Alligator mississippiensis: one gene and its partners. The protein of the gene in region 2 interacts with the protein of the main gene of each other region in a pairwise test. Links are inferred from orthologs where the notes say so. Each region holds a gene or a part of one and is shown on either strand. Other genes may lie near its edges. The genes, in order: RAB2A, FAM114A1 and RAB2B.

Region 1 (10,231 bases), on a different chromosome or scaffold from region 2:
TTCTGTGCTTGCCCTCACAGCCTTTTATATAGACCTTTGCCAGAAAAAAGTGTTAAAAGCACATTGGAGTGCTTGAGGTTTGAAATTAAGTATTTTTACTAAGAGCAACTTAAATGTCTGCCCTGACAAAAATATAAGTAGACTTTTGTATTGATTTCTGTTTTTTCCTGGGTACCACCAATCCTAGTTGTGATGTCTTTGATGGGTGGGCGAGTACCATACTGTCTTCTTTTACTGGGACACTTCCCCCTCAACTCGCCTGCCACAACTTGTTACTCAGTGAAAGGAGAGGTTCAGTAGTGTTCCTCTTCTCGGGGGACCCGGTGATGGAGGTACTTACATTCGTGCCGCGATGTTCCTTGGGGCTCTGCCTCCCCTACACCTCGTCCACTTGCCAACCGCTTGGGTGTTGCCTGTGTAGTTCTTCTGTGCCCCTCTGAGCCCCTTTGCTAAGGGGTCAGGCATCGACTTTGGCTCTGGTAGGTTGGCCTGGATGTTAAGGCAGCTGGAGCCCCAGCCTCTGGTGCCAGAGGGCTGGGCTCCCAATGTCTGGCATCCCTCTCTCTCCCCAGAGAGAGACACTTTTTTACCAACTCTGAAATGTAGGTAGCTGGGGGAGGGTGGGGGTGGAAATGGATCCTCCCCAGCCTAATGCAGGGACGCTGTTCCCCCTGCTCCAGATGCAGCCTCCGCACCTGCAGCAACGCTCCTGCCAGTCGCAGGAGTCACACCCTACCTGACGTACTCCCCACTGGCTCTCTCTCCCTCCTCCCCCCGTGCTGGCTTCCGGCGGGGTTTTTAAATCTTCCCATGGTGGCATCCCCCGCTGCCACCATTGGCCCGGCGCTCCCCCATCCCAGGAGCAGCTGTTTGAAGAGCCGGTGTAATGCTGGTTTGCGCGGCCGTGGTTTCGGTTCTGGCTCCAGTCCCGGCCCCAGCCGCGCTCCTAAAAGTAAGTTTTCCAGGGTGTGGGGGGCCTGTTTGTCCTGTGCACGGGCTCTTGGGGTTTTCCCCAGGCCCCTTGGAGCCTGTGGGGGCTTCTTGCCGCCACCCTAGTTAATATGTTTTTTTTTTAAGTCAATAAACAATATTTTCTTATACTACTTTGAGTAAAATAGTTCAGTTTTTGAAATATAAGGTATATTTTTTTGTTTTCTTTTTAGCTACTTCAAGGTCATTTCAAGGACACTTTGTTTTTCCTCTGTTAGAAGCGGGGAAACATTAAAGTAAACCCATTGCTGGTTTTATCAAATTTTATTTTTAGAGTTCAAGGCAGTAAAGCACAAGTTTATACAGAAGGACAAACAGAACATACTGCCTACATTTAAAGATCTAATGGTAGTGACTTCACAAATTCAAAGACAGTGCCAAGAGCAAAGGGATCCTTATTTTAGCCAAGTTTACAGACATTCAAAAACTGAGGCCCTGAAGAGTAGAGAGCTTGCAGTGCTGATACTATGCAGCCAGGGGAGGGCCAAGTACATGCATCTCAGTATGCTCTGGAGGTTCTCTTAGTCTGCCTGGCAACAGATGGCAGTGGTGCATAGGGCAGCCCAGATTGGCTGACCCAGATTGCCTATGGCCAGTCTGTTTTCCTGCAGCACAAGATGGGGTGGGGTTCTACCCCTTGCTGAAGCAGCAGAGTCCAGCGAGCAGTATACTGGGCAAGTCTACATGTGCAATTAACACAGCTGAATAAACTCCAGTGCACTTTGCACCAGAGCTTATTGCTCCCAGGTGCTGTGTTTGCATGTGCGCCTAAGACTGTAGCACAATGAGCTGGGTCGGAGCAGGGGACTCGGTGGGTCAACCTGCCAGCTCAGGTTTGCTCCAGCCTGGCTTAACATGCTGCAAAGGGACTAGCTGGGCTAGCCAGCAAGCGGTCCCCACACCGAAGAACCTTTCTGCCCTAGCTAGCCACATTAGCATTTATACGTGCATTGTGGTGCACTAAATAATGCCACCATAGGATAGTACTTGTGTACTATAGTACTTCACTGCAAAAGAAGCACTCCCAGAGACACTGTGCATGCCATGCAGCTGCCAAAATGGCTGCAAGAGCTGCTGAACAAGCTGCCACACAAGCAGCTCCCAGACTGGTGATGCGCAGCATTGCGAGCTGCCCCACCCCCTCCCTAGTCAGCGCTTGCCCCAGCCCAGATCCCAGCCCCAGTCCCAATCCCTCCCTCGCTGTGGGGGCATTGATCTGCACCCCCTTTCCCTCCACCACAACAGACTTACCAGCTGGAGGTAGCTGTGTCCAGAGTCGAGGCCTATTTAGTTTATGGCTGAATCTCCAAAGTGGCACTTAATCTCTCTTCCAAATCAATTCAGAGGTTTCTGATTCAATTCAGACCTTTTAATTGGTCTCCCGATTCGATTCAGATTCGGCCACTGAATTGGGCCGAATCTCCTCTGAATCAAACTGGCTACCAAAGCCCTAATTTACAGTATACTTTTTTTTGTTTTTACCTGGGATACATTGTAGGTGTAGGGTGCTCTGTGTCTTTAGTATGTAAGAAGGGTCAGAGTAGATGATCTTGCTGACCTCTTAGGTGAATGGTTATATATGAATGTAAGGGACTGGACTATGGCTTGGAAGGTGTGCTCTAGTCCTGTATTCCTCTATATCATATAAGTCTCATTTGGGAATTTAATGATCATTAAGTTTGCTGTTAACGTGCAAAAAATTATCATATAGATCAAATCATTCCTGCCCACTAAAACCTACTAGTACTGGTACTTTCAAAATGATTTTGAAATGTTTAAGCTTATTTGAAAAATAGCTGGGGATTTACTTTCTAGTTACCTAGTAAATACACTGACTCATGCCACAAAAAGCCCATCTAATATGTGGCCTAAGTGTCACAATAAGGTTCTTTCAGTTTTTATACCAAATAAACTTATAGCTGCCCAAACATTTTCTTCTAACACCTTGATTTACAAAGTAGCTTGTCATTTGGAAGTCACAGCAGTTCCTTCTTAAGTGTCACTACTGATAAGGAAGGACCTACAAAAATCGCTATTGCACAATTTTCGTGGAAACCACAATTTTGGACAGGCTCCACGAAAAAGCACAGGATCCCTGAAAAAAAGCTTACTGAAAATAAAATGCTGGCTTGTCCTGGAGAGCCATCAATCCTTGTGGCCACTCAGGCCTGGTTGTGCAGCCTGCCAGGGGAGAAGGGGAGGCTGCCGCCCCTGCCCCTTGCCACTGATTGGCTATGAGGACTGTTCGTCATTCCCCCCCCCCCCCCCAATTGGCAGTAAGGGACAAGGCCACTGGTGCCCCTCAGCCAATCAGAGGCATGTGGGAGCCCACTGTGCTCTGCCTACTAAAATGGCTGCCAGCTGGAGATCTGCCTGTGAGGTCAGCAAGCCGCTACCTCTAATTCAGTAGACCCCTAATAATAATGGTTCCGCAAATTGGCTTTATACTCCATAATCCCATTTCTGTCACTTAGGAAATAAACATGTAAAACCATTAGCCATTGGTGAAGAGTCAATATCATGATTTTAAACTGGATATATCTACCTGGTACATAAAATTACCACTAGTAAAGACTGATACAGTTTACTCTGTTATTTAAAATGGTGTAGAAAATACCACATTTAAGTACAGAACAGCCACTGTTTCCATAGTAGCTATGGAGCCTATGAGAAATAGGTATGTTAAACTTCCATTAAAGTTATTAAAACTTAAGAAAAGAATATAGGTGGCTAGCCTAGTCAGCCACTGTATAATAATCTGCAGAATATCTCCATGTCTTATGTCTGGACAACTGAGAAGTAAAAATCGAGCAAACATGGTACTTATTTGCAGAGTAGGCACTTAAAATTTATAAAGTAAGGGCAAAGTAAATATAACTTAGAGGGGAATCAATTTTTTATTAATTTCAAGTTGGAAATATTTCAAATCTAATGGAGGAATGCTGATGGAACTGAACAGTTTAGAAGTACAACTGCAAAGTATATACAATGCACTAAAATATATAAAGAATTACAGGATCCTCTGATAGATGAGAGATATCCATTGGCTAAAATCACTGAATGTTACATTTTTATGAAAAGTTAAACAGGGGATCAGTGATAGGGGAACGGGCAGCAATTTGATAGGTTTAGGTTGCCTAACACTTTCTGTGATAAAGGACATTAGCTCAGCCCTCTATTGTTTGCAGCAGACAGCAGATTAGCCAGCTGCAGAAATGAGTATGCAAGTATTTTTCTGCATGCAATTTTGTTCAGTTTTTGCTGATATAAACGGCAATAAATCACGGGTTCCCTTCTCTCCATATGCATTCCTGAGAGAAATGTTGGCATGACGACAAAATAACTGAACGCATGAACACATGACCACCCAGCTCATGCCTGCCAATGCAGCAACTGATCATGACACCATACTGTTAATAATCAGGAGCTGCCATACTAGTAGCTTCCCCCTAACCTAGAGATCCACACTATCCCTTCTGGGCAGCACTATGTGGCATGAGCTCCTCGAATCACAAAGGAGAAAGGATCCTCACTACTGAACTATACCCAATAGTCCTTTCCCCCTTCCATGGAATAAGATGTCTCTAACATGATACCACTGCCACTGGTCAAGTTTTTGAGTGACAGTGGGTGCAGTATTTGTTTGTTCTGAGCTCAATACTCTCAATGCAAGTTAAACATGTTTTGAGTGTGGCTAATGGACCTCTGCCAAGGGACTTTGGCAGAGTTTAGGTATGGCTCCATATCTCTTTCAGAATGCAGTGTAACATGGGTGGGAATTAGGCACCTAACCACTCAACTAGGGTACTTTTTTGCATGCTTAAAAGATGAATGATACATTAGTTATCCTTATACCAGGGTACAAAAACAGTGGGCATTCAAGGTACTGTACAGACAATCCTACTATGGTGAAACTCTTGCAGATCCGGTATAGAATTACCCTGGGAAACATGAGGGGTAAAACTACACTTGGAGTTCTGCATAGCAGAATTCACCCATGTTCACAACTTACCCAAGGGGAACCATTTGTTCAAAGTAAATACACTGTTGCCTGCTCCCTCACCACCTGGTGGGGTAGTGCTGTTAACAGCACGTACTTGCGCATAGCTACCCTAGCAAAGTTTATCTTCTATCGGCTCCAGATCACCCCTCTAATTTACATTGGTGTGTCCACGCCCTAAGCTTAGGTGGTAAGAGATCATTTTGGGCCATAATTAAAGGGCCAAATTAATTTAGTCACCCACAAAATGCTGCGGCTGCTGAAACAGGATTATTCTGCATCACTTCTGACTAAGCTACCTAGCTTACTAATGTGGATGTAGGCCCACATGTGTGGATCTCCTAGCTAAGACGGTGGCCTGTGAGCACTTTAGAGTAACACTGCCTGGTACCAATCAACCTGGTCAAAATATAATTTCCTGCCTTGGGAAAAGCTAGCCCAAGGAGGCCAAAGTCATTATGACCACAGGTCATGCAACGTGCACCTTCGCAGAAACAACAGCAGGCTCTGTAGTATCAGCGGGGTTTGTGAAGACTTCCTTGGCCTCCGAGGTGCTGACAAAAAGTGCAAAAATGATAGAGACCCGACCCCCCCACCCTGATTTAGATCAGGTCCCTGGTTACAGCAAATACATTTATGCCAGAGCAGATGAGCTCAGAAGTTGCCTGCCGAACTCTGAAGCTGCCTCCTCCTCAGGGCTAGGGTGGCCGTCATAGAGGGCAGTCCAGTTAGGTCCTCTATGGATACAAAACCGGACACCTTTTCTCTTGAAGAGAAAAATAGAGGACATAAAGGCAGTGGGCTTCGTATCCATAGAAGATGGAGTAGCAGAAAACTGGAATGTCCTCTATACTGGCCACCCTACCCCAGGAACATCCCAGCAGCAGACCACCCCTGGGTAGACTGGGAGCGGGGCAGCTCTTCTACAAGCCACTTGGAGCCATCCCAGCTCCATGACCCTTTCTGAAATTGGTGCAAGGCCCCGGGGCTGGAGGGGCCGGCGCCGCCCCCCAGTGAGGGGTGGGAGCAGCACGGCCAAACCCACTCCAGGTCCCCTCACCCCCCGCAACACGCCCACACAGACCCGCGGCGGCCTCGCGACGGGATGACGAGGACACGCCGGTGCCCGCGGGGGGAGGGGCAGCGCGGCGTCACACGGAACGTCCCCGGGCCCCGCCCCACGCTCCGGCCGCCTGAGCACTTCCGGGTCGGCGGGGGGTGGGGGGCCCGGGAATAGGCTGCGTGACGTTGCCGACGGGCTCGGGCCGCTGTTATTGTTCGTGCTCTGGCGAGTCGTCGCTGCCGCTGCCGCTGCCCCGGACGCTGAGCGGCGCGAGCCAGGGTTGGGGCGCGGGCCCGGTGGGCGGGCGGGCAGCCGTTAACGGCTCGGACCCCGACAGCGGGCGGGGCGGGGCGTCACCGAGGAGCAGCAGCCCGGGCGGCGGCGGCGGAGCGGGCGGAGATTGGGCGGCCATGGCCTACGCGTACCTCTTCAAGTACATCATCATCGGGGACACAGGTGAGCAGCGCCGTCGCCCGCACACGGGGCGGCCGGGCCCCCATTTCCGCAGTGTTGGCTTAGCCGACGTGGTGCCTGGCAGAGGAGGCCGGCTCCGCCCTGCGCTCCCCGCGGCCCCGCCCGCGCCTGCGGCCTGCGGCGCCCCTGCCGCCGCGCCCCGGCTTGGGCCCCGCGCCCACGGGGGAGGGGGTCCAGAGCGCGCCAGGGCACGAGGCCAGGCCCTGCCCCAAGCAGCCTCCGGCCAGCCCGGCACCACCCCCTTCCGTGGCTTTCGGAGCCGTGCTGTTTCCCACCTCCCTGCTGCCCACATCAGCAGAGCAGGCATTCTCCATCCCTGGTGTCCCCCTCACGTGGGGTCTCCTCTCCATCACATTCCTTCAGTTGCCAGGGAGCCCCTCGGCAGCCCAGCCCTCAAGCTCATCCTGATGCCGGGAGATGGTTGGGTGCAGGCAGGGGCCCAATTTTGACAGCCTCTAAGGCTGTTTGTTTCTTTCCATTGTAGTCATGGCCAGGTTTCCAGTGGAAGGCAAAGCACAGGGATGTGGACGCAGCCTGCAGGCCTGATGCAGTCTGCGGAGCCTGTCATTTAGGCCACAGGGATCCTGGAGGGGCTGGGAGTTTAGGGATGAGGTGAGCCCCACTGTGATGGCAGATGAGTAAGCAACAGCTGCACCAGCCCTGGTGAGTTTCTGCCACTGCTCACCCTGCCTGGGACAAGACCCATCCTATGAGGAGCCTGGTGACCTGGATCCATCCAGAGAGGCCAAGGGCTTTTGACACCCCTGATAATAGTACATGTATCTTATGCATTCAGGCAAACTTGGTGCTGCAGTTGCCCACTGTCTACATCATGGTTAAGTAAGTCTACAGTTGCTTCTTGTGCAAGTTTAACCTCACTATTTATTGCTGGAGTGGCTGTTCTGTAGGAACATACAGATACGGTTGCTGAATGGCTTAATACTTATATTTCTTGTGCTTAAGCTCCCTATGGTTTTTATAAAAAGACAACAATAAATATTAAGCAGCGCAAAGGCCCACATTAGTTAAAACCTAAGAAAACAAGAAGTTCTTAGTATAAAATTACTCTCATTATACCTTTATCCCATGTGCCCATGCTGTGCAGGACATGGAGCTTAAAAAGACTGTATCAAGCAGCATGACTTCAAAAGTAAAATCAGAGGGTGTTTTTACTTCCCAGAAAGATGCTACCTTTGCCCTCTGACAAGTTTGGAACTAGAGTTATAATATTAAAGAATGGGAAAGCCTGCCTTACTGCGGCCATTCTGTGGGGCACTCGCTTTATTTCACTCCTGAAAATGTACATGCCACTGTGGGACATGGAAACTCAAGTTAATTACTCAGGTGCATCGATTCTATACGGTCTAAGGCTTGACACAAACCTTAAAGTATATGTTGCATAGAAGTTTATGCAGTTCTGCTTCTTGGTTGGTGGGGCCTGGTCAGAAATTTTACATCCTAATACTAAAGTTGTATTGGTATAATTTTTCTGAGTAACTTTTTAATTTTCTAAAAGACGTGTGACAAAATTGTATACGTGGGGATGGTCAGATAGGTACCCTAGGAGAACACAATACATTAATACGATATTTTTTTTTTTGTAAGTTTACTTGCATGATTCAGAATTTCTGATATAAAAAGAGAGAGGAAATTGAGGCCGAAATAAACCTTGATCTAAAATGACATGCTTCACTTGGAAAGAAAGACATGTTTCCAAAACCAGTTCAAATAAGTTTATAGTGATAGCTATAGACATAGTTTAAATCTCTTGAGAGCCCTTTATTAATTTTTGTATAGCTTACATTGTGGAACTGTCTTTCCTGCTGTAGAACTCCCAGTCTGACTCAGATTATTGCAGGGATTTCTAGTTAGACTCCTTAAAAGTGTACTAGTTGAGTGGTGATTCAGCATTTAATTTTAAATATGCCTCAGTAGGAAAAGAAATGAAACCCTTATGGATCTCTTCATTACTACTAAGCTTGGTTATGCAAACAAATGTATGCAGTTATACCAGATACCTGCATGTATTTGACATGATCATAATACCAACAGTTTTCATCCACCTAAGTGTAGGTATTTAGTCTGACCTCACTTCTTTAGCTGCAGCTACAGAAAACTGTGTAGGGTTGGTTACATTTTACTGGACATATCTAGTCCCTTTGCATGCTTTCTGGCTCCAGTGACTTTACTTCTAGTATAACAGATGATAGAGTTTTGGGAGAGCAAGACAGATTCTGCATCCTTAATTGTTAATTAAGATCTAGTTTGTAGAATTTTCTACTGTTGGAGAGGTATGAGCAAGAAATAATAGAACTTGACTTTCAATGTGGGTTTGTTTGAAAGGCTGGGAACTTAGGAAAAAGTAGTTTATTTGTAAATTGAGAAGGGTTTTTCTGGAATTGGTAACTATGGGTACATGGACTCTGAATCATCACGTGGAATTGTCATTCTTTACAAGAGAGAGGTTAATTATTGTTGCTTTTATAGAGCAATTACAGGAGAAAGTAGACCTCTATCCATATATTTCTAGGATGCAGTAAAAATTAAGTTCAGAAATTCACTGAATTACTAGTAGATCATAGACAGTGATACTAGGAGTTTAAAGTAAAGTATATATGACATCTGTCATATATTAATAACTAAATGCTCTAGGAATGATTGTTTCAGTCAGACCTTTGAGCTGGCAGTTGATTACTAAATTATGCTGTATCTCATGTGTGATGTTGGAACCTGTGACATGGCAAATCCTAATCTAGTATAAAGAAATAGAATGAAAATCTGTCATGTGTGCTGGAGGGAATGGGAAGGGGAAAGGGAGAGAGGTCACCATAGCTACAGTTCTAGTAAACATATGCTTTATATCTGAGATTTAAAATATCTACCTGGTTTAGTACTGCCAAAAAATCTTTTTTTTTCCTTCCCTCCCCCTCTTCTCTTAGTTGAATATTGCATGTCTTGCTCTTCTTTTTTATAAATAACGCATCATGATGCCAGAAGTAGAAGCTTTTTGTTGATAAAGGAATATTTTCCTGTTTTACCAGCCCAGTATTAGTTTAAAAAAAACAGAACTCTGATGTAATTAAGCTACATCTGCAATCTCTTCAAAATCTTTAATACGCACTTTTACTATAGCATATGTACAACAACATATTTCCATAAAATCAAAATGAGCAAAATTAAGGAACCTTTGATGCTATTGAACTTTGTTTCATTTAACAACCAGAGCTCTTGCCATCAAAACGGCTATCTTGAGACTGTTGTCCCAAGGTAGCTGAGCTAGTGCAGCACATGATGGTAGTCTTGGTACAGTCACTGTTGATCACCCAGGTGGGTGGCTGACCAGGATGAGTGGCTGTAGCTGCCCAAGGTCCTGGTTTGAGATCATGTTCCCTTTAGGAGTTTGTAATCAGGGCTCTCTAGCGACTTGACAGCCTTCTACAAAACAAATCTTGGGAAATGATTGGCTAAGCTGCTGTACTGTAGAGAAGGACTTGTGGGTTACAGTGAACCCATGAGCTGACCATGAGCCAACTGTGTGCTCTCATTGCCAAAAAATAAAATAAAAAGCCAACGGTATACTGGGTTGAATTGATCCTGAGGTGGTGCAGAGTCATTTGGAAGAACTGGATGCCTTTAAATCGGCAGGCCCGGATGGGCTCCATCCGAGGGTGCTGAAGGCACTGGCCGACATCATTGCAGAGCCA
Region 2 (9,488 bases):
CCCCGGATGACGAGGGAGGATGACCCCGAAGCTTACATCGAGGCATTCAAGAGGACAGCTATCCAGACAGGGTTGGACCGGGGTCAGTGGGGCCACCACCTGGGGGCGCTGGTGATAGATCAGGCCCAAGTTGCCTACCGAGCGCTGTCAAGGGACGAAGCTCGCGATTACGAGGCAGTGAAAGCAGCAATCCTCTACAGGCTTGAGATTTCACCGGAAAGTCATCGGCAGGCCTTTAGAGCCCGAAAGGCCAAGGAGGCTAGGCAACCCCAGGGGTTGTTGCAAGCTTTAAGGGACTCACTCAACAAATGGTTGCCAGCCGGCAAGTTCGACCAGGCGGGTGTGATGGACCAGATCCTGTTAGAACAATTCATATGGGATTTGGAGGAGGATGCCCAGAGATGGGTACGCAGACATCAGCCACAAACTAGTGAAGAGGCACTTCGCTTGGCTGAGGCTTTTGCGATTTCGGAAAGGGAACAGGGATACAGACGAGACTCCCGAGGCACGAAAGAGGGACCCACAAGCGAAGGGGAAAGGCGAACAGTCTCGAGACGAGGGCCACCGAAAGGGGTGGTGTGTTACCGCTGTGGGCAAACCGGACACATCTCCCGCGAATGTGGGGAAGGCCTGAGCGAGCTGAGTCGCACCCCAACAGGATATCCACCCCCCCGGGATAGAGGCAAAGAGGCAGAGAGAGGGGAACCCATGGATTGCAGTTTTGGGTCGGCAACCCAGAGGGAGGGATGGAACCGGCCCGTAGTAACCGCATGGGTTGGAGACAGGGCGGTTAAGGCCACATTGGACACGGGGTGCTCCCACTCCCTACTTCGGGCAGACCTCGCTCCGCAGAGGGAATGGAAGAGTGAGGGGCCCCTGACGATGACCTGCATACTAGGGGGGGAGATGCGGTTCCAGACTTGCTATGTTCCGCTTAGGGTGATGGAGTTTAGCGGAGAGTTGCGGGTTGGAATTGCCCCGACCCTGGCGTGTGAGATGATACTAGGCCGAGAATGGGGGCCATTCTATACAGTCCTCGAGCGAGTGAGGGCTATGCAAGAGGAGAGGAACCGGATCAAGAGGGGAGACGGATGGGCCGGCGAGGGCCCAGCCCGTCGCAACGAGACAATGGCAGACGGCATCGACCTAGAACAATTCGTGAGCGCGGCCCAATTTCTTAGGGCACAACATGAGGACCCGGAACTGCAGTGGATGTGGGACGCTGATCCCGGGGAAGGACCCTCACAGAGGCGTCCCCGCTTCGAGGTAACAGGGGGACTATTATATCGGGTCCACCGGGGTGAGGAGGGTACCATACGGGGGAGACAGTTAGTGGTCCCGTCCTCACTTCGCCAAGTGGTGTGGAGATTGGCCCATGACTCACCCCTGGGTGGCCATCTGGGACGTAACAAGACCCGGGCGAGGCTGGCCCAAGAATTCTTTTGGCCTCGTCTCCAAGAGGACGTGGAAAGGTGGGGGGCCGCATGCCCCGAGTGTCAGAGGGCCCAGGAATGGAAGCCCCCAAGGGCACCCCTGAAGCCCATGCCAATAGCAGAGACACCGTTCTTGCGGGTCGCCCTGGATATAGTAGGACCCCTCCCCAGGTCACATAACGGATACCAATATATCCTGGTGATGGTAGATTATGCCACCTGTTTCCCAGACGCCGTGCCCCTTAGGTCCATAACCGCCACTCGAGTAGCGGAAGAACTTCTTAAGTGGATAGCGCGGGTGGGCATACCTCGGGAAATACTCACAGACCAGGGAACAAACTTTATGTCTGGGGTAATGAAAGCTTTATGTAAGACCCTTGGCATCACCCAGCTAAAGACCTTGGTCTACCACCCCCAAACTAATGGTTTGGTAGAAAGGTTAAATGGGACCAGCAAGCGGATGCTCAGGCGGTGCGCCCAGGAAGACCCGCGGAGGTGGGATACTATCTTGACACCCTTGCTGTTCGCCATAAGGGACGCTCCGCAAGAGTCAACCCAGTACTCTCCGTTTCAGTTGGTGTATGGCCATAGCCCTCGGGGACTGCTACAAATCGTAAGGGAAGAATGGGAAAAGCCAATAGGCTTGGGGGTGTCGGCGGAGAGGTACCGGGAAGAGCTACAAGACCGAATCTCCATGGCCCAACGGATCTCCAGGCGAAACCTGAGGGACGCCCAAGGCATACAGGAAAAGCGTTAGAAGGCGAAAACACGGACTTTCCAGTCGGGGGACAAAGTTTTGGTATCGCTGCCAACTTCCTCCAGCAAACAGCTGGCCATGTGGCAGGGGCTATTTACCGTGGTGAGACAAGTAGGACCCGTGGATTACGAATTACTTAAACCAGGCCACCGCCGGGAACGACAGATTTACCACGTGAATCTGCTCAAGAAGTGGAAAACTCCTCAGGGCTGGTTGGCCCTAGACGGGGATACAAAGGAGGACCTGGGACCGCCGTGTCCCTGGTTAGGGAGACCCGGGGAGGAGGGGTCAGTACAAATGGGCAAGGAGTTGGGCAATCACCAACAGCGAGAATTAGTAGCTCTGATAGAGGAATTTAGGGCAGTGTTCCAAGAGATCCTGGGACGAGTAACGGGAGTAGAACATGAAATCAGGACACCTCAGGGAGCACTGGTGAGGGAGAGATGGAGGCCGATACCTCAGCGGTGGCAACGGGAAATACAGCAAGAGATCATGAGAATGCAAGAACAAGGGATTATACGACCGTCCCGCAGTCCATGGCGGAGCCCCATAGTCCCCGTCGTCAAACCGGACGGGTCATTGCGCATATGCATAGACTACAGGAAGCTCAATGCCCTGACTACGTTTGATGCCTTTCCGATGCCCCATGTCACTCACCTCATGGAGAAAATCGGTGAAGCACAGTATATAACCACGCTTGATTTGGCAAAGGGATATTGGCAGATCCCGATGCGCCCCATGGATTGTGCCAAAACAGTCTTCGGGACCCCGTGGTCCAGAACAGCCTTCTCTGACCAGAGAAATCCAGGGCAGCCTAAGGGCCAAAAGGGGAGCACATAAAAAGTGGAAACAGGGTGAGATCACTAAAGATGAATATACCTCCTCTGCTCGTGCTTGTAGGGAGGCAGTTAGGCGGGCCAAAGCTACCATGGAGCTGAGGATGGCAACCCAAGTAAAGGACAACAAGAAATTGTTTTTTAGATATATTGGGAGTAAAAGGAAGGCCCAGGGAGGAATAGGACCGCTGCTAAATGGGCAGAAACAATTGGTGACAGATAGGGGGGACAAGGCTAAACTCCTCAACGAGTTCTTTGCCTCAGTGTTCCTAAGTGAGGGGCACGACAAGTCTCTCACTGGGGTTGTAGAGAGGCAGCAGCAAGGCGCCAGACTTCCATGCGTAGATCCTGAGGTGGTGCAGAGTCACTTGGAAGAACTGGATGCCTTTAAGTCGGCAGGCCCGGATGGGCTCCATCCGAGGGTGCTGAAGGCACTGGCCGACATCATTGCAGAGCCACTGGCGAGAATGTTCGAACGCTCGTGGTGCATGGGCCAAGTCCCAGAAGACTGGAAAAGGGCTAACGTGGTCCCCATTTTCAAAAAGGGGAGGAAGGAGGACCCGGGCAACTATAGGCCTGTCAGTCTCACCTCCATCCTTGGTAAAGTCTTTGAAAAAATTATCAAGGCTCACATTTGTGAGAGCCCGGCAGGGCAAATTACGCTGAGGGGAAACCAGCATGGGTTTGTGGCGGGCAGATTGTGCCTGACCAACCTAGTCTCTTTCTATGACCAGGTTACGAAACGCCTGGACACAGGAGGAGGGGTGGATGTCGTATACTTAGACTTCAGGAAGGCCTTCGATACGGTATCCCACCCCATACTGGTGAACAAGTTAAGAGGCTGTGATGTGGATGACTGCACAGTCCGGTGGGTGGCAAATTGGCTAGAGGGTCGCACCCAAAGAGTCGTGGTAGATGGGTCGGTCTCGACCTGGAAGGGTGTGGGCAGTGGGGTCCCACAGGGTTCAGTCCTTGGACCGATACTCTTTAATGTCTTCATCAGCGACTTGGACGTGGGAGTGAAATGTACTCTGTCCAAGTTTGCAGATGACACAAAGCTATGGGGAGAAGTGGACACGCCGGAGGGCAGGGAACAGCTGCAAGCAGACCTGGATAGGTTGCACAAGTGGGCAGAAAACAACAGGATGCAGTTCAACAAGGAGAAATGCAAAGTGCTGCACCTAGGGAGGAAAAATGTCCAGCACACCTACAGCCTAGGGAATGACCTGCTGGGTGGCACAGAGGTGGAAAGGGATCTTGGAGTCCTAGTGGACTCCAAGATGAACATGAGCCGGCAGTGTGACGAAGCCATCAGAAAAGCCAATGGCACTTTATCGTGCATCAGCAGATGCATGACGAATAGGTCCAGGGAGGTGATACTTCCCCTCTATAGGGCGTTGGTCAGACCGCAGTTGGAGTACTGCGTGCAATTCTGGGCACCACACTTCAAGAAGGATGCGGATAACCTGGAGAGGGTCCAGAGAAGGGCAACTCGTATGGTCAAGGGCCTGCAGACCAAGCCCTACGAGGAGAGACTAGAGAAACTGGATCTTTTCAGCCTCCGCAAGAGAAGGTTGAGAGGCAACCTTGTGGCTGCCTATAAGTTCATCACGGGGGCACAGAAGGGAATTGGTGAGGATTTATTCACCAAGGCGCCCCCGGGGGTTACAAGAAACAATGGCCACAAGCTAGCAGAGAGCAGATTTAGACTGGACATTAGGAAGAACTTCTTCACTGTTCGAGTGGCCAAGGTCTGGAACGGGCTCCCAAGGGAGGTGGTGCTCTCCCCTACCCTGGGGGTCTTCAAGAGGAGGTTAGACGAGTATCTAGCTGGGGTCATCTAGACCCAGCACTCTTTCCTGCTTATGCAGGGGGTCGGACTTGATGATCTATTGAGGTCCCTTCCAACCCTAACATCTATGAATCTATGTGGGGCCTATTCGAATTCACGTGGATGCCCTTTGGCCTCAGCAGAGCAGCTGTGACGTTCCAGAGGTTGATGGACAACCTGTTGGCACTGCACGCAGCGTACGCGGCGGCGTACATTGATGACAACTTTATATTTTCCGCCAGCTCGCAACAACACCTCCAAGACCTCAGAGCAGTCCTGGGAGAACTCCGAACAGCAGGGCTGACCGCCAACCCGAAGAAATGTAAACTACATTTAAAAGAAACAGCATACCTAGGATTTCGAGTAGGCCGAGGGACAGTGCGGCCACTCACAGATAAGATTGAGGTTATAAGGCAGTTCCAGGAACCGCGAACCCGCAAACAACTGCGTTCCTTCTTGGGACTCGTTAACTATTATCAGCGATTTATACCCTGCTTCGCAACGCTCGCCACACCACTTACAGACGCGTTGGCTGGGAGATCCGTAACGCCACTGAAATGGACACTGGGGATGCGAAAGAGCTTCCAGAGTTTGAAAGAAGCAATGCGCCATGACATTGTCGTGCACACGCCTAACTTTAACGCCCCTTTCGTTTTACAGACGGATGCATCAGGACGGGCGCTGGGAGCAGTGTTACTCCAGAAACACGGGCAGGAGGAGCACGCAATTGCCTTTGCCAGCAGGAAACTCAGCCAGGCAGAAACCAGGTATGCCACCATCGAGAGGGAATGCCTGGCAATACGCTGGGCAATAGAATACTTTAAGTACTACCTGATGGGGAGGGAATTCGTGGTAGTAACAGACCACGCACCACTACAGTGGTTGACACAGAAACAGAGCATGAACACCAGGATCACCCGCTGGGCTTTGGCATTACAGCTATTCAAGTTCACGGTGATACACCGTCCTGGCAGAGATAACTTTGTGGCTGACTTCTTGTCCAGGTGGGGAGGCGCAGACAACGCAGAGGAAGGTACGGGCCACATCCACAGGGAGGAGCAGCAGGTGACACATGCTGTCACGAGAGAAAATCAGCCACCACAAGGCAACTTAAGAGGGGAGGACTGTGGCGGCGAAGTGCCCCCACAGGCTAGTGAGGGAGAGAAGGGGGGACCCACAGACCCCAGACCCCGAGAGCAAGCCCCCAGAGGGGCATACGTACCGGCTGAGGAGCAGCGGGAGGAAGAGCCGCATTCGCGGCTGCCATTACGCCGGCTCTGGCAACAGCTGTTCCCGGCACAGCGAACAGCTGAGCCAATCTCAGCGGCCGTAGCGGCCGCTGTGGGAAGGTTTAAAAATGCCGGCAGGACAGGGAGAGAGGGGGAGCCAGGGAGAGAGAGTACGGGTGTGCTGCCCGTGCTGCGGGCTCTCGCATGGAGCGGAGAGGACCCAGCCTGCGGGTCTCAAGCAGGCAGCTTAGACAAGAGCTGGAAGCCTTTCGCAAACAGCAGAGCGAAAGGCAGTCAGAGAGTGCAAGCCGAGGCAATCTCTCTGCATCCTGAAGCGGCTGACGCTCAGGAGGCAGGGGAGCGCTCTGCTGACGGTAGGAGAGGGGAGACAGCAGAGGCTCCAGGAGGGAGCTGGAACCAGGGGGAGCACCCACCAGCTCCCCCTAATTCAGAGGAGTATTTTCTGTAAGAGAGGAGAAAGGAGAAATCCCTCCCAGCAGGAGGGAGGACGACCGGGAACCGGTGAACCAGTCAGAGGCCATCATACTGGGCCTGGAAACATCTGGAACGCATCGCCCAGCAGTTGGCGTGTGGACGGGGTGTAGGGGAGGCGGAGCCCCATGGATCACCACGGCCGACAACCGTGAGTAACACTGTCTATCGGGAGGCCCCACCCAGGATAAAGACCTCCACTGTAGACCCCTCTGAAGGTAATTGATTACATCCAAGTCGTGGCAGGCGAGTTGAGGGGAGGGGCAACACCCCGATAGGGCAGGTGGAGCGAGGCACAGGCTCCACACCATCACTGATGGTATAACACACAGCTCACTTTTGGTTCCATACAAAAATTACTTGGTGAAATGTTATGAGTTAGACTCACTAGATAAAGGTGGCCCCTTTTCTCTGTAAAATCAACACATATATTCTATCTGCCTTCTTCCTGATTGTGTTCTCATCACAACTCAGTTGTTTTGTGCAACTGCTCGTCAGCTCTGGACCTCCCTCCATCTTCAGGTCTTCCAGAGGCCAAGCCTGAATATCTTTTGGAAGCACTGCATGACCTTCCTACTTGGGCTGGCTTTTACTAAACAAAACTAGGATAAGATGTTGTTCAGAGGGTGTCTGTTTTATCCTAGATCCCTTTTAAGTTGTTTTGGTCTTCATGTTACTCGCCTGTTTCTAAGTTATTGTTTGCTTATTTTAAGGTGCCTTGAGCCTTTGTTGGGAAGGGTGGTATATAAAAATTAAATAAATAATCCTTGTCAAGGAAAACAGAGACTGCCATACTCTAGTCACATCACATATGCCTCTGCATAGTTAATAAAGATTATAGTAGCAAATGAAGGAGGAACTTAATTTTAAGTTAACCAGTGTGTTTATTGTCTTTCCTGTGTCTGTCTCATGTTTTAAATTCTGAATAATTTTTGTGGATTTTTTTTACCTTTAAACTTAGTTTTCAATGTACAACAATCTCTTGTGCTTACTAGGCCTGATTCTGATTTCATTCCTGTGGGGCTAGCGTGGGCATCTCTGGCAATGTGTGTGTGGTGCTATGGTGAATTTTTGCTTCTTGGACTCCAGTCTGCTCTGTAGATTGGACCTGTCTACAACAGAAATTAGAGTAGACTTGTGACTAATTGTACTTAGGCAGCGCAACTCTGGCTGGCTGTCTAGAATACAGACTTGTCTGGGCAATCTCCCTCTCAACTCTGCTCCCTAAGCATTCTTAAAGAGAGCAAAAAGCTGTATAGAGTGCTTTTTAAGGAAAATTTACCTCAAGGGTCAACTTAGGGCCCATTTACAACTGATGCCGTAATGTAAAGATCCTTCACAAGTGCAGGAACTGGCCTTTAGTTCTGGTTTTCATCACCATGAGTAAAATCAAAATCAGACCCACTGCAAAAGGGATTTTGCTAGACCTGAGAGTCGTCAAGGTACTTTTAAGAATGGATTTGCATAGACAGTTTTACAAATCAAAATACGTTTTATAGCAAATATGAATATTCAAGTAATATTTGAAAATGCTTGACAGAAATATGTAATAGTATCATGGTTCAAAGTTAAAATAAAAAAGATAGGAAAAGAGAAAAGCCATATTTTCAGATGAGATTGAAAAAATTATGGAGTGCAGGTGAGGTAGGCAGGTCCTAAAAACAGTGTTCCAGGTGGCAAGGGTTACAGAGATGTTTTTTCCCCACTTAAATTGGTGAAATAATGGGATAAGACCCAGTGGATACTGATGCTAAACAAGGAGGAAGATGAGAAGGAAAGAAAAAAAGATGTGTTTGATCTATGGAGCATGCTAAATCTACAAGACTTCTTTGGAAATAGTCGGGGTTCAACGATCTATACTGACCTTGCCCACCTTATCTCTTGTTGACAGTAATTGGCATTCCATCAATGCCAACTATGGATGGGGGGCTATAACTGGCCCTCAGAAATGAACCTTCATGATTTCTGTAGATAAAACATGTATATTTGTAATATACACTTACATTGTCTCTCATTTAATTCTTACCATGCTGCATACCTGCAAGCATTGGTGAGTAAAGCTGCTTTTTAGAATGGTTCTGTATCATTTAAGTGTTTCTGGAATTTGTAATAACTGAGTAGTTAATTTATATATCTGTGCTATTTTTTTAAACAGAAATAAAAATGTCTGGTGACACAAGTGATGCAGTACCCACCAAAGGAAAACCTGAAGTAATAGAAATGCCTAGTAGTGATGTGTTGCCTGATGATGAAGCACTACATCATGAAGTGACCGGGATACTGCATGGGTCTTCACAAGATGGAGAAAAACAATCTTTCCATAATACCGCTAATGGACAGGAAGGAGACCCAACTATCACTGAGCATCCTTTGACTGAGGAAGTGAAAAATCAACCTTCTAGCACAGACGTGACTGAGAATGTAGCCGCTGACTGTAGCGAATCTGTGAGCCTTGATCCTGAACTTGAATCTGAAGTGACACCAAGTGAACAAAGTAATCCAGTAAGTGACCCTTCAAAAACATCTATTCTGAAGATAATTACCTTGCTATACTAAACAATCATGAGTCTGGCTCCCTACTTGAGGAAAAGGGCAGTTCTGTCAAAATTATATATTGATTGTAGTGTCAGCAATTAAGAAATAATGAGCATCACTTTTTTTTTTTTAAGAAAAGCCTTGGAAATTACATGTAGACTTCTCTACATTGAAAAAATATAAATTATTTATATTGAAAAACAGCTCTTAAAAAGTTAGGAAGTGTCAGATTTTTATTTGTCTGTCTTATCTTAATTGGCTTCCCTGGGCATGTAAACATAAGACAGTTATGATACAGTCTTTAATCATTCACTCTCATGCTGGGCTTTCTGCAGAAGCTCTGCCTCCCTCAGTAGACAAGATAGAATCACAAGG
Region 3 (10,248 bases), on a different chromosome or scaffold from region 2:
CTCCTTCCTCAACACCTGCTTCCACATGGACACCTGCAAGTACGTGCACTACGAGATCGACGCCTGCGCTGACCCTGGTGCCCCTGGCACCCGCGACCACAACCCCGGCCAGGAGCTGGCCCTGCCGCAAGCTGTGGGTGGCGACGCCAGCGCTGACCGTCTCTTCCCACCCCAGGTGCCCACTGCCTGAGGGGATGCTTGTTGGCAGGGGCCTGTAAAACTGGGCAGGGGAAGCTTGGGGTGGGAGGCAGAGCACAGGAGTCTGCCCTCACATCTCTCTCCCGGCCCAGTGGATCTGCTGCGACATCCGATACCTGGACGTGAGCATCCTGGGGAAGTTTGCAGTAGTGATGGCTGACCCGCCCTGGGACATCCACATGGAGTTGCCCTATGGGACGCTAACTGACGATGAAATGCGGCGCCTCAACATCCCCGTGCTACAGGACGAGGGCTTCCTCTTCCTCTGGGTCACTGGGAGGTACTGAGGGTCTGGGAGGGGCTGACCTGGCTCAGAGGGGTCATGGGTGTCTCTGATGCAGGTCAAGGGTCTCACTGGGGCTGTCTCCCTCACAGGGCCATGGAGTTAGGGCGCGAGTGCCTCAACCTCTGGGGGTGAGTGTGTACAAGTGAATGTGCCCCCACATGTCCCCCCTCACACCCTTCCCAGCTGACCTCTACCCCCCGCCCCAGGTATGAGCGGGTAGACGAGATCATCTGGGTGAAAACCAACCAGCTGCAGCGGATTATCCGCACAGGGCGTACGGGGCACTGGCTCAACCATGGCAAGGAGCACTGCCTGGTAGGGACTGGGGGCCTGGTGCTGAGCACGGCTACTTGGTGGGTGCAGGGAGGGGGTTTGCTGTTGGACCTGGGTCTCAACTGGGCCCCGGCAGCCCGTGTGCCAAGCTCAGCAGCTCTGTCCCCGGCAGGTCGGGGTCAAGGGGAACCCCCAGGGCTTCAACCGGGGCCTGGACTGCGATGTCATTGTAGCAGAGGTGAGTCAGCTGTGCCTGTCCCTTCATTCCCCACTTTCCGTCCAGAACCCCTGCTCAGTGCTGCCCCCTCTCCTCAGGTCCGCTCCACCAGCCACAAGCCCGACGAGATCTACGGCATGATCGAGCGCCTGTCACCTGGCACCCGCAAGATTGAGCTCTTTGGGCGGCCCCACAACGTCCAGCCCAACTGGTGAGTGTCTATGAAATGGGAGAGGCTGCTGGGACCGACTCCTGGGTCCAGCCTGGCAGCAGGGCTGGGACAGGCCCACAATGTCCTTTCCCCCCCTGATGCCTACTCTTGTCCTGGCCAGGATCACCTTGGGGAACCAGCTGGATGGCATCCACTTGCTGGACCCAGACGTGGTAGCCCAGTTCAAGCAACGCTACCCCGACGGTGTCATCTCGAAGCCTAAGAACATGTAGGGGACTGAAGGGGGAACCTTGCTCGTGGGGACTGTTTTGTAATAAAAGAGAGGATGGAAAGAGGCACAGGCCATGTTGATGGCTGCAAGGAGCTGGGGGCTGCGCCAGCAGCTGGAGGCTTCCCATGTCCTGTCCCCAGTGAGACCCTCACACTGGCTCTGTCCCCTCCCACTTTAATCCAAACCAGAAAGAACCGCACCACAGTCAGCCCCAGTACTCCCCCCAGGCCCTGTTCCCCCCTCCTCTGCTGCATTCCAGTCCGGCTTCCCATCACGCTGGAGGCCACATGCAGGCCCTGACCCTGACCCCACAGGACAGGGCTATTTCACAAACACGACGCTGCCGCCGCTGCTGCCACCGCTGCTGCTGGAGTTGCGGGAAGCCAGCCAGGCCAGGAAAACGTCCCTGCAAAGGAGGTAGAAAGCGTATGTCAAACATGAGGCAGGACTGCAGGGGGGGAGATGAGGGCGGTTTTTGGGGCAGCTCCATCTCGTGCTGGCCATATGATGTGATGCCAAGACAGCCCCATTACTGCTGCTATGGGCATTAGTGGGGTAATTCTGCCTTCCAAGGAAGTGCTAGGCTGTGCCAAGAAGGCCCAGCCAAGGCAGGCCAGTCTTGCCCCCCAGCTCAGGGTCAGCTGGATACCGTGTTGGGGTCAGGAAGGAACTGTATCCTGGGATCAGGCCAGCACACTCTGGGGTTTCAGCTTTGTCTACACGGGAAGAAGGGGGCACAACATCTGCCTAAGCTCTTCTGAGCATGACTTAATGAAGTCATTACAGTGGCAAGGCCTGGTCCTCACTGCCCGAGGGCAGGTCAGGGTGTTTGATGCCCCATGGCTGGGGTTGTGCCCGAGGGCTGTATGCAGGTTGGAATGAGCTGGACACTGTGGCTGGGGAGGGTCCGAGCAAAGCTGAACCTAGCTGTAGCGAGGCACGCCCGGACTTCCCCGCAACCCCGTCTCCACCCCCGCTCACCGGCAGTGCTTGACGACGCACTCACTGCTGCAGTACTCGTTGTCCCAGTCGCTGCTGGCCACAGGTGGGTTCTCGCAGCCCGAGCGCACACAGCGTGGCCGCGGTGACTCGGCCATTGGGGACCCGGTCACCAGCTCCACAGCCATCTGCGTTGGGGACTCAACCTGCAGGTGGGAGGGGGATCAGGGAAAGGTTATGCCCAACTGTACCCTGTGTCTGCTCCAACTTCTGGACACAGACAAGGCCGTAAGCTCGCTGGTTCTCAGCCTCTGACAACAGACCAGGAGTCAGGACCCAGCTCCCCACACCCAGCCATGTACTCACCTCAGGCACCACATCAGCAGTAACCATCTCCATGGGCTCAGGGGAACCCTGGAGCTCAGGACTGGGCCGCTCAGGGCTGGCCTCCTCAGCCTGCAGGGTGACGGGCTGGATCTGCAGGGCAGGTGGGGGCAGGATCTTGATCTGCAGCGGTGGGGGCTGCTGCTGTAGGTTGAGCCGCACCTTCTGCTGCAGCGGGGGCTGCTGCATGGCCTGCAGGGGTGGTGGGGGCTGCAGCACGGCCACCTGCTGCGTGGGGGGCTGGGGTGGGGGCATCTGCTGAAGGGGTGGGGGCTGCAGTCTGGGCAGCTGCATGGAGGAGGCAGCCGCAGCTGCAGCAGCTGCCGCCTGCAGCACGGAGCGAGTGACGATCTGGGTGGTGCCGGTGCCAAGCTGCAGCCCACGGGAGGTCACCACAGTGGCGGGGATGACCGTGACCACGCCACCCTGGGACACAGCCAGTGAGGACGGCAGCATCTGCTTGGGAATTATGATCTTCGTGATGCTGGTCTGGGGAGCAGGCGTGGGGACAGCTGGGGCAGGCTGTGGAGTTGGCGAGGAGATGCCCCCAGAGACGGTGGCAGTTGGCGTGGCCGTAAGCGGGGTCTCCTGTGCAGGTGAGGGGGCCAGGGCAGCAGTCAAGGAAGCAGCGGGAGTAGACGTCTGCACGGACTGGGAGGCAGGAGAGGGTGGCGTTGGGCTGGGGTCCAGCTCTGTTTCCAGCGTCTGCACGGAGAGAGAATGGGGGATGAGAAAGACGTACAAACAGATACGCAAGACCCTGGCGCACCCGCGGACAAGAGAGCTGAGCCCCGGCCAGCTGGCAGAGGCCCAGCCCCCTTACCTGACACACCTGGATGGCTCGGTAGGCTGCCAATGCCTTCAGGTACTCCTTCTTGGCCGCCTCTGTCTTCCGCTTGTAAACCTTGGGGGAGGGAGGACTAGGTCAGCAGCAAGCCCCAGCCCTGCTCTCATTCCCCCCCACCAGCTTCTGTTCCCCCTGCCCCGTGCCCTCCCAGCCATGCCCACCTGCTTCTGCTCCTCGCCCAGGCTGTCCCACATGGACGCCACGATCTTGGAGACCTCCCCAAAAGTGGCGTTGGGGTTCTGCCCCTTAATGGCGGCCTGCGTGTCACGGAAGAAGAGCGCGTAGGCCGACACCGGCTTCTGCGGCTCGTTCGGGTCCTTCTTCTTCTTCTGCTTCTTAGCCGGCTTCGGCTTCCGCCCCGCGTCCAGCACCAGCGTCGCCTTCTGGGCCGGGGCCTGCTGTGGGGGCGAGAAGAGGGGGCACGGTCAAACTGCAGGCTGGAGACAGAGGTTTGCCCATCCGTGGCGGAGCTGTTCTCGGGTATCAGCAAGAGGTAGCCTGCGACTGGGACGACTAGAGGCCGCGAGGCACAGCTGGAAAGCGCAACAGGGCCGGGCAGGAGCATGTGGCCACTTCTTGCCAACAAACACGGAACCGCCGGCGGCCTCGGCCCCAGCTCCTGCTGACGGGGCAGCGACCGAACGCGGCAGGCGTGACCTCAGCGGGCTACGGACGCAAAGCAAGGGGAGGGGGGAAGAAGTGGGAATCAACTACCCGAGCAACGCAGGAGTCAGGCTCTCACCCGTCTGAACTCCTCAGCTTCCTCCTCCTGCAGCGAGCTGGTGGGGGAAGGCGTGGTGGACATCCGCTCCTCAGGTGACGCCGCCGTGGCGGGGGCCACAGCCGGGGCGGCGGCAGCGGCGGCGGCGGCGGCAGCGGCGGTGGCAGAAGGAGCGGCGGCCGGGGGCAGAATGGCGCTGCCCCCCAGGCTGAGGCCGAGCTGGGAGCTCAGCTCCGACTGGTCGATGGTGGTGAGCTGCCCGTGTCCCATGAGGCTGCCCGGGCTCATGGCGTTCATGGGCACGTCGATGGTGACGGGCGGGTTGGCGTTGTACTGCGCGCCCATGGAGTGCTCCAGGTCCTGGGGGCACACGGCGCAGGCTGGGGGGGGGCCGGCCGGCACCACCGCCAGCAGCACCGCTCCCTGCCCTGCGCGCCCGGCCCGGGCGGCCCCCCAGCACGCACTTACCATGGACAGCCCCCCGGGCAGCAGCCCGCCGCCCTGCTCCATGAGGCCGTGGCTCATGGCCACGGGCATGTCCAGGGCTTGCACGCCGTACTGGGCGGAGAAGCTGGCGTCAGGGGCGCCGCCGGGGTCGCCCAGGTCGTCGAAGTGCCCCACCACGTCCGCCACGGCCAGCGACGGGTCCGCGTCCAGCGCGATGGGCGGGATCTCGAACTCCTCGTCGCCCAGGCTCGGCGTGTGGAAGGTCTGCGGGGACGGGGACGGGACCGTGAGCCCGCGCCGGGCACCCCGCACCCGCCACCCTCCCCGCCCCGGCTCCCCCCTCACCTCGGCGCCCGTCAGGAAGGGGTGCGTGGCGCCCGTGATGGCCAGGTAGTTGTCGCTCCCGCCCGGGAACTGGGGAGGAAGCAGGGATACGTGACGGGCTTCACCGGGCGGGGCACGGACCCTCTCCCCCTCCCCACCCCCACACCTGTGCTCCCCTCCTCCACCCCCACCCCCACCCCCGTGCTCCCGGCCCCGGCACCTCCATGGCCGCGTCCCGACCGATCGCCAAGCACCGCCTCCCCCACCCCCTCCGAGTCCTAAGGAAGGAACCGGAAATCCCCCTTCGTGCGTCACTTCCGCCTCCCCTCCAAACTCGGGCTCGAACTCTAGGCCCTAAGGGGAAGCTGAATGTAGCCACCCCCCCAGAATCGCCCGTAGGAGGAGTAGAGAGGGAGGCCTCCAGGCGGCCAGCGCGGCCCCAGGAGGCGGGTAGAATGGCACCGGAAGTGTGGGCCGCGGAGCAGTAAAGGCGCCAGGAGGCTGCGGCTGGGCTAGAGCGTCTCCCCGGAAGTGAAGCTGAGTCGGGGGGTAGAGCGGCCCTGGGAGGACCGCATCGGACCGGGGCATCATGTCTTACACCTATCTCTTCAAGTACATTATCATCGGGGACACCGGTACGGGGCGGGGGCCCGGGGCCGGGAGCGGGCAGCGGCGGCTCCGACCCCGGGCCCAGCCCTGACTCCGCTCGCTGCCTGCAGGCGTCGGCAAGTCCTGCTTGCTGCTGCAGTTCACGGACAAGCGCTTCCAGCCCGTGCACGACCTCACCATCGGTGATGGGGGATAGGGGGGTTGTGGGGCTGTAGGCGGGTGGGGGAGGGGATGAAGTCAGGGTGCTGTGGGGGGACAGGAGGGGTGTCCAGGCCGGGGGTGCTGACGGAGCCTGGCCCTGCAGGTGTGGAGTTCGGGGCGCGGATGATCAACATTGACAACAAGCAAATCAAGCTGCAGATCTGGGACACAGTGAGCCGGGCTGCGGGGGTGGCCAGTGTTCGAGTCCGTGGGGTGTGGGGGGGAGCGGGGCCGCCCGGCGGGATTAAGCAGCGCTGGGTCAAGCCAGAGCCACGAACGAGATCCCTGACCCCTCTGCCCCTGCGCCCCGCAGGCCGGGCAGGAGTCCTTTCGCTCCATCACGCGCTCCTACTACCGGGGGGCGGCTGGGGCTCTGCTGGTCTACGACATCACCAGGTGAGGCCCGGCTCCTGGGGTGGGAAGGCTTCCCCCTGCACCTCCTTCCCTTCCTGGGGGAGCCCTGGTGCTGCCGCCGCCCCCTTCTCATGGCAGCCCCCACCCAGGCGCGAGACCTTCAACCACCTGACTTCATGGCTGGAGGATGCCCGGCAGCACTCCAGCTCCAACATGGTGATCATGCTCATCGGCAACAAGAGGTGACAGGCGGGGAGGGGTGGGGGGACCCCTGAGGCAGTGGGGGGCTAGGAGGGGCGGAGCCTACAGGGAGGCTGCTGGTTATAGGATGCAGGGGTTTGGGTATAAAAGGGAGAGGCCCGAAGGTGGTGGCCGTAAGAAGACCCTCTGGATGTCGCCCTGGATGCAGGCCTCACAGATGTGCGGTGGGACTTAAGCTGGCCTTTGGGTGGGTATGGGGTCCCAGATGGGTCCTGGCCATGATGCTTCCCCCTCCTCCCTGCATGCGTCTGCAGCGATTTGGAGTCACGGCGGGACGTGCGGAAGGAGGAGGGCGAGGCCTTTGCACGGGAGCACGGGCTGGTCTTCATGGAGACCTCTGCCAAGACAGCTACCAACGTTGAGGAGGTGACTGGGGTTGTGGGGAGGGGGGGTGAGGAGGTGCTCTTCCGCACCTCTCGCAAAGGAGCGGGTCTTGGCTGAGCCCAGGTGGGGATGTGGACCATCCAAATCCTAGAGCACCCCAAACCCTTGACAAATGGGGTCCCGGAAGGAGTGGGGCCACTAACCCTTAACTTCCCCCATCCACCTCCGCTTCACCCTGGGCTGCCTTCTTTCAGGCCTTTATTGACACGGCCAAAGAGATCTACAGGAAGATCCAGCAGGGGCTGTTTGACGTGAACAATGAGGTGAGTTAGGAATCCAGTCCGGAACACCTGGATCCCATTCTTCCTTCCATGGTGGGGCCTTGTGGGGGTGAGCAAGGTATGCTGCTGTCCTTAACACTTGGGTCCCTTTCCATAAGGGTTGGCTGATTTATCTGGGCCTGGCACCTACCTTGGGCAGCCTAGTTTTATTGATTGCTATGCCCCTATTAATGCTCTCTCCCACCCTCTTCCTTGTTCTCTTCCAGGCAAATGGCATCAAGATTGGTCCCCAGCAGCCTTCGGGAGTGGCTCCTGGTGCTGGCTCTCGCCATGGCCCCCAGGGCTCCGGGGACAGCTCAGGCTGCTGTTGAGCCTCTGGGGCCAGGACCAGCTCGCTCTAGCCCCTGGCAAGGGAGACAGCTCCTCGTGGCTGAGCCAAGGGGTGGGGGACTGTAGGGGGTGGCTGGGCTGGGTAATTTCCCCCCCTCCCCCATGTCTCAGCAACCCCCCCCATCTGGGCCCTGAAAAAAGGGGCAAGGACCAGGCACCCCTTAGCCTGTGCCTGGGGGAGACTTTGGGCTCTGCCTCAACCACACATTCCTCCTGGCTGGCTGTGGGTTGCCGACGGGACAGAGCCCAGGGCTAGGGCCTCCCCTTGTCAGTGCCTTCCACCCCCCCCCGGCTGTCTCTCTTACTGCCTGGGACCCAGTTGGGTCTGGCTGGGTCCCCTGTGTCCTGCAGGGTCCTGGCCAGGTGCCCGGCCCCTCCCTGCACCCATGTCAGCTTTTATACTGTACTTGCTCTCTGTGGTTTCTCCTGTTATTAAATGTCTGCATGTGTTCGGCTCTCCCCATGTGTTGCTCTCCATGGGGGTGGAGGGACTGGGGAAGCTGCTGCAGTGAGTGTCTGGGAGTAACCTGGGAATGTCTTGGCTCCCAGATCCCTCCCCAATCAGGTCTGCTAGGCCCCAGCCCCTTGCTGGAGCCCAGGATACAACCCAGGAGCCCTATTTCCTGTCCTGCTCCTAGAGAAGGAATGACTTTCTTATCAGCATCCCTTTCATGCTGGGTGGGTGCTTTTGTGGTCTCCAAGGGGAGTCCAGCTCCATGCTCCTAGTTGCTAAGTGATTTATGCCTCTTGGGCAGCTCCTAGCCCCTTTTGGAAGCAGCTGAAGCAGCACCAGGCCCATGGCTCTGCAGGCCCCCAAATGGGATTGTGTGACAGCACTGGTAGGGCTGCCCACGGCGCCCAGGCCCTGTGGACACTGAGGAATCCCAACCTCGGTGAACGTGGCTCATGGGTCACAGATAACCCCTCTGAGCTCCTTGTGATGCCCAAAGCTGCTGCCTGGCTCCTCTGAGGGGGCCAGCAAAGAGCTGTCCAGCTGGGAGGCTAAGAGTTGGGGTCACTGTTGCCTTTAACCCCCTTGAGGCAACTCATCCATGGGGGCCAGGGCTGGGAAGGGTTTCTGGGTTAGGCCAGTGCTTGGCTCATGGAGGGTGGCTTTGCTCACACAGTCCCCTCTGCTCCCTGTGGCTGTCCTTCCTTTGCTGCCCCTGTCAGATGGGGACCAGGACTGGGCCAGCCCCTTTCTCCTCCAATCCTTGAGAACCTGCCAGTCCCCAGGCAGATCCTTATTTGTGGCCAGTGGACTGGAACCTGCTGTCTTGGGTGTTCAGGTAAGTGCTGTTACCCCCTGGGTAGCTGTTCTTTGCTCGTACCTCCTCTTTGTTCCTCCTGCATTCAAGGTCACCAATCTCTGCACCTAGAACAGGCCCCTCCGTGGGCTCTGATCTGGGTTTGTGTCTAGGCTGAGTTCATCTTGGGTTTTGCCCAATGTGACTGTCTTATGAATAGACCTTGGCTGGTGAGTTGCTTGGGGGCAGAAAGGAGAGTAGCTATGCACTTCTGTTCAGTATCTGGCATGATGGAGCTGTAGCTGACAGCAGCCTTGGGTGTTACCTCAATGCAGGCATTGGCCATAGCAGCAAGGGTTTCAGCCCCAGCCATGGGCAGTTTAACCACCTAGAATTGAGTCTTGTCAAATGAACCTTGGTTCTCTGAACTAACATTTCCTTCTGAAAAACTTTGATGTGATTTGGGGGGATGGTGGGGGGGGGGAAGGTTTTCCCTTTTTTGAGGCTAAACAGCTGCTGTTTGTTTTTTAGTTTGGAAATAAACGTTAACATTCTCAGGTTTATTTATTCACTTGTAGACATACTTTTTCCTACGGCAAAGTTTTAGGAAGTTCAAAACCGTGATGTAGGAAGGACCTCTAATTTTGCTCATGTTTTTACATTCTGTTCCACAAAGGAGAGGTGTTGTGGGGAAGGGGGACGGGGGGAGAAGCAGTCTTAATAAATTTGACTCTTTATCCTTTTTTTTCTCTCCTCCCCCCACCCTCCCCCCCCATTTTCCTTTTACTTACCACTAAGAAAAATTAAGAGGAAATGTGTATGTGTATATGTAACACTCACAGCGCCCGCAGGGCTGACCTGACTTGACACCCCACCCCCCAAAAAATTAAAATCAAAACTTTTTTTAAACTACTTTGTTTAGGAAAAGCATTTGTTGCACTTTCTCTAATGCTTATTCAGAATTTTTTTCCAGGGGGAGTAATAACTTGGAAGTGTAGAATTGTGGCAAAAAAATACAAAAGTGTTACGCAGGAAAAATTAACACTTGCAGAGTTCGACTAAAGCTTTGTATCCAAAAGCCCGTGACTGTTTAGTTGGGGTTCGGGCTTTGTTCATGGGGTCCTGTTTCAGCAGTGAAATGGGATGTGGTTTTTCCTGGGACAGACTACCTCCGAGGGTCAGTGCAGTTCAGTGGACAGCCTTGCCAGTTCATTGAGTTTCTGGAGGGGGAAAAAAAAATAATTTTGGGGGGGGGGTTGTTTTTTTTTGTTTGTTTGTTTTTAGCACTTCTCCGATGCTCTTGTTTGAGATCCCTACACTTGGAAAAAGCTAAAGCATACAGGAGCTGAGCTCCTCGGACACTGCATCCAGGTCCACCCCTACCTCCAGGCACAATCATCCCTGTTTGGACCAGCCTGGCCCGCTGTCTATCTGACCTGTTCTTACAAACTCTCAAGGACTGAGGTTGTACCACCCAGCAGGGGTCCTGGTCCAGTGCTGAA

What was found.
Region 1: the proteins of FAM114A1 (region 2) and RAB2A interact in binary tests that used the Homo sapiens proteins (3 or more experiments, as listed by UniProt). The two-hybrid records come from large-scale screens. The link is inferred for Alligator mississippiensis from reciprocal best matches to the Homo sapiens genes FAM114A1 and RAB2A.
Region 3: the proteins of FAM114A1 (region 2) and RAB2B interact in binary tests that used the Homo sapiens proteins (3 or more experiments, as listed by UniProt). The two-hybrid records come from large-scale screens. The link is inferred for Alligator mississippiensis from reciprocal best matches to the Homo sapiens genes FAM114A1 and RAB2B.

The regions. Positions count from the first base shown.
Region 1 is NC_081826.1:68,276,081-68,286,311, reverse strand, and holds the start of RAB2A (ras-related protein Rab-2A), read left to right. Parts: upstream 1-6,194; 5' UTR 6,195-6,463; coding exon 6,464-6,509; intron 6,510-10,231.
Region 2 is NC_081825.1:50,196,273-50,205,760, forward strand, and holds the start of FAM114A1 (protein NOXP20), read left to right. Parts: upstream 1-5,452; 5' UTR 5,453-5,467; coding exon 5,468-5,624; intron 5,625-8,733; coding exon 8,734-9,080; intron 9,081-9,488. UniProt on the Homo sapiens protein: May play a role in neuronal cell development.
Region 3 is NC_081830.1:3,888,052-3,898,299, reverse strand, and holds RAB2B (ras-related protein Rab-2B), read left to right. Parts: upstream 1-5,545; 5' UTR 5,546-5,668; coding exon 5,669-5,714; intron 5,715-5,798; coding exon 5,799-5,870; intron 5,871-5,992; coding exon 5,993-6,060; intron 6,061-6,202; coding exon 6,203-6,285; intron 6,286-6,392; coding exon 6,393-6,485; intron 6,486-6,758; coding exon 6,759-6,870; intron 6,871-7,082; coding exon 7,083-7,151; intron 7,152-7,375; coding exon 7,376-7,480; 3' UTR 7,481-7,948; downstream 7,949-10,248. Other genes in the region: METTL3 (N6-adenosine-methyltransferase catalytic subunit), read left to right, coding at 1-175, 291-478, 574-612, 691-799, 930-995, 1,073-1,185, 1,307-1,418; TOX4 (TOX high mobility group box family member 4), read right to left, coding at 1,739-1,823, 2,399-2,562, 2,723-3,445, 3,564-3,644, 3,749-3,985, 4,330-4,668, 4,777-5,019, 5,101-5,169 and 1 more. UniProt on the Homo sapiens protein: The small GTPases Rab are key regulators of intracellular membrane trafficking, from the formation of transport vesicles to their fusion with membranes. Rabs cycle between active GTP-bound and inactive GDP-bound states.